Xenopus tropicalis: one gene and its partners. The protein of the gene in region 3 interacts with the protein of the main gene of each other region in a biochemical or structural test. Links are inferred from orthologs where the notes say so. Each region holds a gene or a part of one and is shown on either strand. Other genes may lie near its edges.

Region 1 (3,654 bases), on a different chromosome or scaffold from region 3:
TTTCAAAGGTATTTTATGTTTTCCCCCATGTGATGTTACGTTGTGTCCAATTTGAAATTAATTGCAGTTATGGACTGTTCAGGGTTTTGAGACTGACCTTACACACAACCTACTGTTTAGGTTTAATGCAGGGTTTTATTGGTTCATAATGTTAGTGTTAGTACCTGAGCTGCTTAAAAAAAAAAAAATCCACCTTTAACTCAACCTTGGGTGTGTTGCATTCAGGTAAAGTCTGAAACAATTTGCATTTTGTCTTTTATTTTCTGTTGCTAGAGTCCACTTTACCCCAGCAGCCAGCCAGTGGTATAAACAAAAATCTTAATAAATAGGTGAGGTGGGCAGAAAAGTCAAAGTAACAACAAAACATTAGCCCCACAGGGCAATAGCTTTTTATCTAATAGGGTCCGTGACACCCCCCCCTTTTCATCTGAAAAAGGTAGAAGCAGCATATTAAAAAAACTGTAATTTAAAGAACATTTGAAGAGTTGCTAGGAATAGACCATTCTATAGGATACACAGTTAACTGAGGTTAAAGGTGAGCCACTCATTTTGGCAGGACACTGAGGTTTTTCAATTTGCCAAGCACTTCCTTTTGAGTTACATGGCTGACTTGGCTCTGTGTTGTGTTTTTAGGTCTTCCTGTTCCCGACAGTGAGCGGCAGGCACCAGGAACTAAAGTACATCACTCCTGAACTGGTGAGCTTTCCTGTACATCAGTGTTTTGCCCCCCCCCCCCCCCCCGCCCCTGCCATTTCAGTATTCTCAAATAATGTTATACTTTTGCAGATGGTTCTCATCCTAAATGGAAGATTTGACCCCTTTATTGAGCGATGCGTGATTATTGATTGTAGATACCCCTACGAGTATGAAGGAGGTCACATACAGGTAGGTTTTACTTGTACTGTTTCGTAGTTGAGAAGATGGTTCCTTTTGTGGTGATGTGATTAAGTAATGGCTGCGAAAAGTTCTGGAAATGTTGACTAAAGGCTGACAGTGGTTGTTGGTAGATGGGTATATATTAGACCACAGTGCTTTGCTTTTTCTGCAGGGAGCCATTAACCTTCACATGGAGCAGGAGGCTGAGGAATATTTCCTAAAGAATCCAGTCATGTCAAATGGTTCCAAACGAGTTATCTTAATCTTCCACTGTGAGTTCTCGTCGGAGCGGGGACCCAGAATGTGAGTAAACACAGCCCACTGAGCGCTTTCCTGTGCCCCAATTCCATCTTCAGCTGTCTAATATACTGGTGTCTGTCCTGCACCCTCTGGTGATATTGGAGAAGGGTGTATTGAGAGCAGGTATATAAGTAATGACAGCTCACTGGGTTTGGCTTTTTGTCGTCCCACACTGCTTTCCTTGGCGCATCAATCAGTGCAACGGAAAATGCTTCCAAACCCCGTGTTATACCCTAAGCACAGCTATGAGAGCAGCCACACTACTGAAGCTTTAGTACTTGGGATCCTGTGGCTAATGGCTCATGGTTCCTTTGCTAGTGTAGTTGCCCTTTAATAATTGGGTGCAAATCTAAATAGCATTTTTTTTTTAATGCACAAGAAATTTAGAAAATGAACTGCCATGCAAAGATCATGGCTGAAGCTTGAGTTAGGGGGCAGAGAAGCCCTGTATGGGTCACTTTCTCTCATTAAAGCGCCAGTAACAACACCTTTTTCTCCTAGGCTTTAATGTGGGCGACCAAGCACCCTGTGTGTTGCCATAAGTTTCAGATGCCCGGCTTATTCTTTCAAACCTCTGTTACAGGTGCAAGTTTCTACGGGAGAAAGACAGAGATAGAAATGAATATCCGCAGTTATACTACCCAGAGCTTTATATTTTACATGGTGGATATAAAGAATTCTTTCAGAAGTGCAAGGTAAGTAACATGCCAATGGGCATATGTGAGTGCTTTTTGTATGTACAGGCATAGGACCTGTTATCCAGAATCAGATTTAGAAGTCTGTTTCTCTCCCCTTACCAGACCTACTGTACGCCGCAGACCTACCGCCCCATGAACCACGAGGACTTTAAAGAAGACCTAAGAAAGTTCCGCATGAAGAGCCGGACATGGGCAGGGGAGAGAAGCAAGAGAGAACTGTACAGCCGGCTGAAGAAACTATGAGCCTCCGTGCCCGCACAGTCCTGCCTTTTCAATCACAGAGCAGCCGATAGAGCCGCGGAGATAAAACTATATCATGAAACTCATTCTCTTCTGCGCTCTTGTTCTGCTTTGTTTTCTTTGCACATGAACCTTCCTCAGGAGGTGTATCTGACACAGGCATATGTTGTGCCATATTCAGTTCTGCCTTACAGCACTCATTGCTGAGAGTTCTGGAATCTGTCTACTGCACTGTCCTATTGAATGGACATTTTTTTTTTTTTAACAATGGTTTGTTTGGGTGAGAAAAAAATGGAGTATAAAATTAATCAATGATCCCAAAGGTGCAACGTGAAGCCATAGAATGCTTGTAGCTCAGGCTTCTCTGCTACCGGATCCACCTGTTACATTCCATATCATGCATTCTCATTGGCAGAACTGGTTTCCCTGCTCAAGGCACCAAGTTGGCCAAAGTGCAGACTTCCTGCAACTTTTTTTTCTGGATTCCATTTCCGTTTCAAACTGAGAGCAAGTTCTGCCATTGGCTGGCTTTGATCTCCTCTGGGGGCATTTTAACATTTAGGTTCAATTTATCTAAATGGCCACTGCCAGTATTTATTGCTGTTTTTATGATTTTGTTTAAAAGTATTAACTCTCTTTTCTCAATTTTGAGAAGATTTTTTTTTTTTTCCTTTTTTAATCAAGGATTTGCACGACGAGAAATGTTTTATCGTTTTTGAGTTGTTTTACTATTGAATAAGTTGTGGTGATTATCAGACTGTGGTTCCCTTCACCCCAGGGCTGAATTCAGCTCACAGGTAAGGATATAGGTACTGGTCCTGCCAGAGAACTGATCAGCAAGGCTTTGTGTATTACTCAAGGGCCAGTGTTGGATAAAAGGGGCACCTGAAGTAACAGTATGGCTGAGCACCCCTCCCACAGCTGCACTCCGCCCCCTGTGTGGTCCTTCCATCAGATATTTGGGCAGGAGTGGTCCTTTAGGGGGTGCTAAAGAGCTGACCTAGACCAATTTTAATCTGTTTTTAAATGGAGTAACTGCAATGTGTAGTGTTTGTAATAACCCCTTAGTGTTAACTCTTCACCTTCGCACACTTACACATTTACATGTTAGGCTTAAAAATGAAGGTGGAGAACTTAATACCTAGAAGGGGCCAAGGTTGACGACGTGGGTTGTCATGTTTTAGGAAGTGACAGTACAGCTCCCTTCCTTACTAGGCAATTTTCACCTTGTCGACTTGCCAAATGTTCCTGGTCATGGTTGAACTTCTCGGTACTATTGACTCCTGCCGTGACTCCCTATTGAGAGTTGTAACATGGCACTGACCCAATGGCCCGTTTGGACTGCATTTTTCACGCTGATTTCCTGTTAAATTGTTAGTGCAAGGAGTGATGGTGAGAAGTCATTGTGCATTGAACACTGTAAATACACGACTATCCGTGCAAAGGTCGGGGCGGTCCAGCTGGGCTGCTTATGGAAACCTATGTATGGGTATACATGACTGTCTTGTGGTATTTTTGTTACAAGGTTTGTAATGTCCTG
Region 2 (3,654 bases), on a different chromosome or scaffold from region 3:
TGGGGTGTTTGCTACAGAAACCCTACTATAGTTTATATAGATGCCCCGGGGGCAGCCATTAAACCCTACTATAGTTTATGGAAATGTTGTGTATATAAGAATCTGTTAACTGTACAAAAGTCCTACAGAAAAGAATATAACCTGTACCTGACTAATCCCTATATTATCAGGCTAATATTGCTCACAGAGAGCAGGTTGCGCTGTACATCGATCTGGATGACCTGGCCGAGGAGGACCCCGAGTTAGTGGATGCAATCTGTGAAAACACAAGGAGGTACACAAACCTGTTTGCTGATGCCGTTCAGGAGCTGCTGCCCCAGTATAAAGAGCGAGAGGTGAGTTGTTCTGCCCCCAATAAGGGGTAATTATATCTTAGTTGGGATCAAGTACAGGTACTGTTTTATTATTACAGAGAAAAGGGAATCATTTAACCATGAAATAAACCCAATAGGGCTGTTCTGCCCCCAATAAGGGGTAATTATATCTTAGTTGGGATCAAGTACAGGTACTGTTTTATTATTACAGAGAAAAGGGAATCATTTAACCATTAAATAAACCCAATAGGGCTGTTCTGCCCCAATAAGGGGTAATTATATCTTAGTTGGGATCAAGTACAGGTACTGTTTTATTATTACAGAGAAAAGGGAATCATTTAACCATGAAATAAACCCAATAGGGCTGTTCTGCCCCCAATAAGGGGTAATTATATCTTAGTTGGGATCAAGTACAGGTACTGTTTTATTATTACAGAGAAAAGGGAATCATTTAACCATGAAATAAACCCAATAGGGCTGTTCTGCCCCCAATAGGGGGTAATTATATCTTAGTTGGGATCAAGTACAGGTACTGTTTTATTATTACAGAGAAAGGAAATCCTTTTTAAAATGTAAATGATTTGATTAAAATGGAGTCTATGGGAGATGGCCTTTCTGCAATTCTAACTTTCTGAATAATGGGTTTTCAGCTAAGGGGTCCGTTACCTGTACATTTGCTTTGGCTTTCTACTAGATACTATATTTCTATAGGATGTGAAGCCTGGCCAGAGTAAATAATCCACACCAATGGGATGGTGTATTTAGCCACAGACTTCACATAGTGAGGCATACAAACTACAATACAAGAAGTAACAATATGATACTGTATAACTGTAAATACTCTGATGCATTCATCTGTTAAAGGTAACATTATCCATCAACAAAGTCCTTATTTCAAATATGGAAGTCCCTATTTCTCTGCCTTCTCAGGGGGACACAGGGAACGTATGGGGGTTAAGCTCCACCCTCCAGGAGGCAGGACACTTGATTAACAAATTAAAGGGGCGTGCCCGTTGCCAGATTTACCCCTCCGCTGTACCCAATCCAATCAGTTTTTCAAGTGTCCTGCTGCCAGGAGGATGGACAGCTAGGTCCCAAGTGAGACCTAATATGAACACTTCGATCAGGGCCTATTGGGTAATGCCGGCAGCTAGCACGCCCCTTTAATTTGTTAATCAAGTGTCCTGCCTCTTGGAGGGTGGCGCTTAACCCCGTACGTTCCCTGTGTCCCCCCCTATCGACGGATTTAACAGTGAGTAACAAAAATCCTATTATATAAAGCTTTGTTCTTATTGCTCAGTTTATCAGAAACAGAAATGGAAGCCCATTCATAACTTTGTAGTCTTTCATGGGAAATCCATCCTGGTCCTAATACAGTAGTTGCAATGTGAATTAAATGCATCATTTCTGTTTTAGGGAAGAATAATCTCGGCTACTATTCTTTCCTGCTGTAGGTGGTACATAAAGATGCTTTGGATGTGTATATTGAGCACCGCTTAATGATGGAGCAGAGAGGCCGAGACCCCAGTGAGACCCGTGATCCTCACAACCAGTACCCCCCAGAGCTTATGCGCAGATTGTAAGTACCATTCACTGGCCCAGTTGGTGGTTGGTTTTAATGACATTAATAATAATCTAAAACCGCGTCCCTGTGTTCTATGCAGCGAACTGTACTTCAAAGCTCCGAGCAGCTCAAAAGCCCGCGTGGTGCGAGATGTCAAAGCCGATTCCATCGGCAAGTTGGTTACAGTTCGGGGCATAGTCACGAGGGTCACAGAAGTCAAGCCTATGATGGTGGTGGCAACGTACACATGTGACCAGTGTGGTGCCGAGACCTACCAACCGGTGAGTGTCGCTAATTTATAATTTCACTTGTAGAATTCCATTGTTTCCAACAGAGTTTGTTGATTCTCACCGGTTTGATTTTTCTTACAGATTCAATCTCCAACTTTTATGCCGCTTATAATGTGTCCCAGCAGGGAGTGTCAGACAAACCGCTCTGGGGGCAGGCTCTACTTGCAGACCCGGGGCTCTAAATTTATTAAGTTCCAAGAGCTGAAGATTCAAGAACATGTGAGTAGCTGAAATTTAAAGCAATACTGACATGGGATGGGGATAAACCCATCAGTTAATAGAGCTTCTCCAGCAGAATCCTGCATTGTAATCTGTTTTTCCCATGGGGCTAGCCATATCCTTCATTTCCCTGGGTGGCACGGTCACGTGACCTGTGCTTTGATAAACTTCACTCACACTTTACTGCTGCGCTGCAAGTTGGAGTGATATCCCCCCCCCCCTCACCCCCAGCAACCGATCAGCAGAACAATGGGAAGGGAGCAAGATAGCAGCTCCCAGTAGGTATCAGAATAGCACTCAATAGTAAGAAATCCAAGTCCGGCTTGGGACTCCTCCAGTTACATGGGAGTAGGAGAAACAATAGGTTAGCTGAAAGCAGTTCTAATGTGTAGCGCTGGCTGAAAGCTCAGACTCAGGCACACTTTACTGCTGCGCTGCAAGTTGGAGTGATGAGAGTAAATGTATACAATGCAGATATTAAGTCTTCCAACCCTCTCTCTCAATAGAGTGATCAAGTTCCAGTTGGGAACATCCCTCGCTGTATGTCTGTGTATGTACGTGGGGAGAACACGCGGCTCGCTCAGCCCGGGGACCATGTCAGTATCACTGGAGTCTTCCTGCCGATGCTAAGAACTGGCTTCCGTCAGGTGGTACAGGTAATAAACAATTTACAGTTATTACAATTCATCATTCTAGCTCAGCAGCTTCCTTATATTGCTGTGAGGTGGGATTACCCTTTAGCGGGTTTTATGTACAGGTTTCTGTGTGAGTAAATGTAAACAAGAACAGCAATTCCTATATAATATTCCTATTTTATGATCAATTTTGTACTGTGGGGAGTGCCCGGCCGCGGCTACCTAAGCATTTGTTTGAAGGACAAGTCAACCCAGAATATATTTTTTTGCCTTATAAAAAAAACTTAATTCTAAGCAATATACATTCCTTACAAACTTGTAATGGTTTTTGAGTTATAACTGTATAATTTTGGGGTTCACTGGTGATTTGTGTGGTTTTTCCTACAGGGGCTCCTTTCAGAGACGTACCTCGAATCTCACCGTTTGGTGAAAATGAACAAGACCGAGGATGATGAACTCGGAACAGAAGAGCTGAGTGAAGAGGAGCTGCGACAGATTACTGGTAAGCAGATGAGGAGTCCCTGTATGGAAGAACTGACTTCTCTAGGTTATAGACTATAGACCAGGGGTGGGCAATACGTCATTTGCGGTCCACCAGTCGATCCCCCCCCCCCCCCCAGATTTCTGTTGGA
Region 3 (3,754 bases):
TGGTTAGACACGTGTAAACGTGCAGTGGCCCCCAGGAGTGTTTCTTGTGGATTCGGTTCAACTGGACCTCCCTTCCTCTTTTATGGAACTGTTTTTAATGGATTTCCAAGGACATTGGATCAACACTTACGGACTTAGTATTTGGACTGTATGCTTTATTCACTTTGCACTTGTTTTTGATTATCTTATAAATTATTACCTTTTATGCTATTTTAACAAACCTAAACAAATCTATGCACATTGTGGCATTATTTATGCTAATTGCAGCACTATCACTTTAATGTTAATGTATAATGAAACATTACCATATTTAACTATAGCATTTTTTACACAAGGTATATTATATAATGACCCTTCACTTATGTTTAACTTGTTAACTTATTATACTATCACTTTAAGAAAGTTTCCTGAAATGCTGTGTGCTTGGTGGGTCATAGGTCAATTTGGCTTTAAATGAGATCACATGGTTATGGTCTTTGTACACTTGATAAAGGGTATTAACCCGAAACATGTCGTGTTACCACTACCCATAATAAATGTTTTGCAGTTAATCTGCTGGAGCTTTTTTTCCTATTTTTGGATTTTTGCAGTTGTATTTGGTTGCAGCACAGAGCAACAACTAGGAGCTAAAGCATTTTTCGTAAGTACTTTATACAAAGTTCACCAATAATTTTTCATTTTTGAACGTATTGGGTCGTATGCACTGACTGACCTGTGATCATTATATAAGCATAGAGGGTTTTACGTTTGTCTCCAGAACATAGATCTGTGTATTAAACTGTTACTGTAACTTTTTAAAGACATAAAAAACTAAACTGATGACAATATAATTTTATCCGAGCTTGCCCAAAACTTCTAGCTTTTTGGTAAGATTAAGAGAAAATACTCTGATTGGGTAAACGTTGGAACTCCGAGCACAAAATATAAACTTCTACGAAAATTGTGGGCTGAGCTGTGTGACTTTCTGGCAAGATACCAACAAGGGAGACTGGTTCTTTTTATTATTATTATTATTATTAATTATTATTATTATTCAGAATTAGGAGATACGTACACCGAAACTACGACGGATCGGCACTATCAAGGCGGCTACGTAAACGTCACTGCGCTGACGTGCAGTCGGACGCCATACTCGCGAGATTTGTGGTGTCGGGATTTGCCGTATGACTGTAGAAGCGCGCCAGGAAAATAGTTTTCTGGGAGCTGTAGGTGGCGTTCCGAAATTGCGGGCTGTGTTAGGAAACGCTGTGTAGGGGAAAGAACATGCAGGAACTGTAGCAACAGGTATCAAGAAGTCTGCAAATCAATGACAGGAGTGGGTTGGTAATCCAAGTATGTGTAGCACATCTGTCCCCCCTTAACTCCCAAAACCAACTTTCCCGGGACGAGTATTACCCGATGGCGCCTTGCGGTTATGTGTGTAATTATACAATAGTTCTTTTCAAGGATGTGTCTTTTGTGGTATGACAGTATTAGATTAAATAGAATTTGAAAAATATTCTACGTTTTGAAGCAATATTTGCCCATTTGTCCCATAATCAGAATGTTTTTTTTTTATACGCATTCATACAAACAGCTGGAAACATTGAGCTTTCCATAACCTAGTGGTTCCCCTGTTTTAAAACGTCTTTGTTGCATTGGCAGATAATAACATAAGAAAATGGCAGTTCCATTTGTTGAAGACTGGGATCTTGTCCAGACTCTTGGGGAAGGGGCATATGGAGAGTGAGTACCTGTTTTTATTTTAACATTTTATAGTTTCCTTGAATTTATCATTTTCCCCCCTTTCTGGAATTTATTATTTTATATCACATGCACACTTTCACATGAGATTAGCATAAGTTCATACATAAGCTGTAACTTTTCTTCAATTGCTGTTTATATCAGAGTGCAGCTGGCAGTAAACCGGAAAACAGAAGAAGCAGTAGCAGTGAAGATTGTGGACATGACACGTGCAGCTGATTGCCCAGAAAACATCAAAAAGGAGATTTGTATTAATAGGATGCTTAATCACACAAATATTGTAAGATTTTATGGACATCGACGGGAAGGAAACATTCAGTACCTCTTTCTGGAGTATTGTCGAGGTGGTGAGCTCTTTGATCGCATAGGTATGGAATTCGTTCTGGAATATGTAACTGAATCGAGAAGTCACTATGTGATAAATTCTGTATCCATCAATATATTGCTTTAGTTTTAAGTCATGCACAAGGGTTTACCAACAGAAATAGCTTTTGAATCTGTTGCTAAAATCTTCTCATGCCGTGCTTGAAGTTTAATAATTTCAGGCAGATTGTGTTGTGGATGTGCTCATTCATAGTTTTTACCCCTATCTTTGTTGGACTGATAACCATCTAGTTGTTAACCAGTATACGTAGTATAGTTATTTAGTTTTAAATACACAGGCCAATATTATCTGCTGACCCTTCCCAGACCACTTTGGTCACTTTTTGGCCTCTTAAACATAGTCCTGTGGGTACCAGGAGTACACCACCCTCATAGGGACAAAAAGATATAAAATGTTCATCAGAAGTGAAGTAAGAATATGTATTTAAGATTGAAGTGAGCTTGTTCATGCACAGTAACGTGTTTATTTATATTTGTTACAGAACCTGATGTTGGAATGCCTGAGCAAGATGCACAAAAATTTTTTCAGCAGCTAATTGCTGGTGTGGTGAGGCACCTTACGTTTTCTCAGCAACTACTAAAATTGAAATAATTCTGTGTGCAACTTTGTTTCCAGTACATGATGATGGCACATGTAGGGTTCATAATGCATAGAGTTGCATACAAGTTTCTACTAACAGCAATGAGAAGCACCACATAAAAGCCTTAGCAGTAGACTGTCGCCTAAAACTGAGCTTTCACATGCTGTAACACTTTGCATTTACAGCCATTCCTTGTTTCAGGTCCAAATATTGTTTAGGCCTGAATATTAAACATTCTACTTGAATATTGATTTCTTATATATGTTTACACATGTGTAAACCTTATGTGTCAGATTTCCTCTGCTGCCACAGGGAGCTGCTGCTGCTTAGATTCTGAAACAATCCAACTCATCTACTGCACAGTCCTCCATGTGTAGTAGGATGCAATCTGAAGCAATTATGCTTGTGGCTGGATGTGTATGCACTTCTACGGTTCATGCTGCACAGAGAGAACAGGGTTCAAAGCTTCTTGAACAGCTTAGGTAGGGCTGGCTGTGGTGTCCTGTTTAAAGGTGGCCACACACGTGGCGATTGGTCGCACGAAAGATCGTTCCAATCGGCCACTAACGTTCAGGGCTGAAACGGCAGATATGGAGGTAGAAACAATAGGATTTCTGCTTCCTTCTGCCGATTCAGCTCTGAAGGTAGATTTTGCTCAGGCGCCTTCTATGCGCCCGATCAAAATCTTCTAACCCACCCGATCGGCGAGTCGACCAATATCAGCAGCCTCCTGCGATATCGGTCACCTCGCCGACTTGCCATACACGCACCGAATATCCTATGAAACGAGGTTTTGTATGATATTATCGGTGCGTGTATGGCCAGCTTAAGGGGACGAAACTGGGTAATTTATCTTTACAACAGTAAGAAAAAAAAATGCATACAGTATAGATAAAAATATATATGTAATGTGTGTGTTAAAAATATGATATCTTCTGATATCTACTGGGAGTTTCTCTTTTGCTACCTTCCCATTGTTTTGCTGGGGAATGAAGAATATGGCTAGCTCCATGTGAAATTTTAAAATTAAATTAGAGCTTCTCCAG

What was found.
Region 1: of the proteins of chek1 (region 3) and cdc25a, one has a biochemical effect on the other in vitro, tested with the Homo sapiens proteins (7 studies listed by BioGRID and IntAct, with this or other methods). The link is inferred for Xenopus tropicalis from reciprocal best matches to the Homo sapiens genes CHEK1 and CDC25A.
Region 2: the proteins of chek1 (region 3) and mcm7 form a complex in vitro, tested with the Homo sapiens proteins (2 studies listed by BioGRID, with this or other methods). The link is inferred for Xenopus tropicalis from reciprocal best matches to the Homo sapiens genes CHEK1 and MCM7.

The regions. Positions count from the first base shown.
Region 1 is NC_030682.2:12,726,986-12,730,639, forward strand, and holds part of cdc25a (M-phase inducer phosphatase 1), read left to right. Parts: coding exon 1-8; intron 9-633; coding exon 634-696; intron 697-786; coding exon 787-885; intron 886-1,048; coding exon 1,049-1,179; intron 1,180-1,759; coding exon 1,760-1,871; intron 1,872-1,976; coding exon 1,977-2,117; 3' UTR 2,118-3,654. UniProt on the Homo sapiens protein: Tyrosine protein phosphatase which functions as a dosage-dependent inducer of mitotic progression. Directly dephosphorylates CDK1 and stimulates its kinase activity. Also dephosphorylates CDK2 in complex with cyclin-E, in vitro.
Region 2 is NC_030679.2:144,214,275-144,217,928, forward strand, and holds part of mcm7 (DNA replication licensing factor mcm7), read left to right. Parts: intron 1-170; coding exon 171-335; intron 336-1,768; coding exon 1,769-1,893; intron 1,894-1,978; coding exon 1,979-2,159; intron 2,160-2,249; coding exon 2,250-2,387; intron 2,388-2,893; coding exon 2,894-3,043; intron 3,044-3,409; coding exon 3,410-3,524; intron 3,525-3,654. UniProt on the Homo sapiens protein: Acts as a component of the MCM2-7 complex (MCM complex) which is the replicative helicase essential for 'once per cell cycle' DNA replication initiation and elongation in eukaryotic cells.
Region 3 is NC_030683.2:74,060,018-74,063,771, reverse strand, and holds the start of chek1 (serine/threonine-protein kinase Chk1), read left to right. Parts: upstream 1-1,089; 5' UTR 1,090-1,319; exon of another isoform or gene 1,320-1,332; intron 1,333-1,644; 5' UTR 1,645-1,660; coding exon 1,661-1,725; intron 1,726-1,887; coding exon 1,888-2,111; intron 2,112-2,609; coding exon 2,610-2,674; intron 2,675-3,754. UniProt on the Homo sapiens protein: Serine/threonine-protein kinase which is required for checkpoint-mediated cell cycle arrest and activation of DNA repair in response to the presence of DNA damage or unreplicated DNA.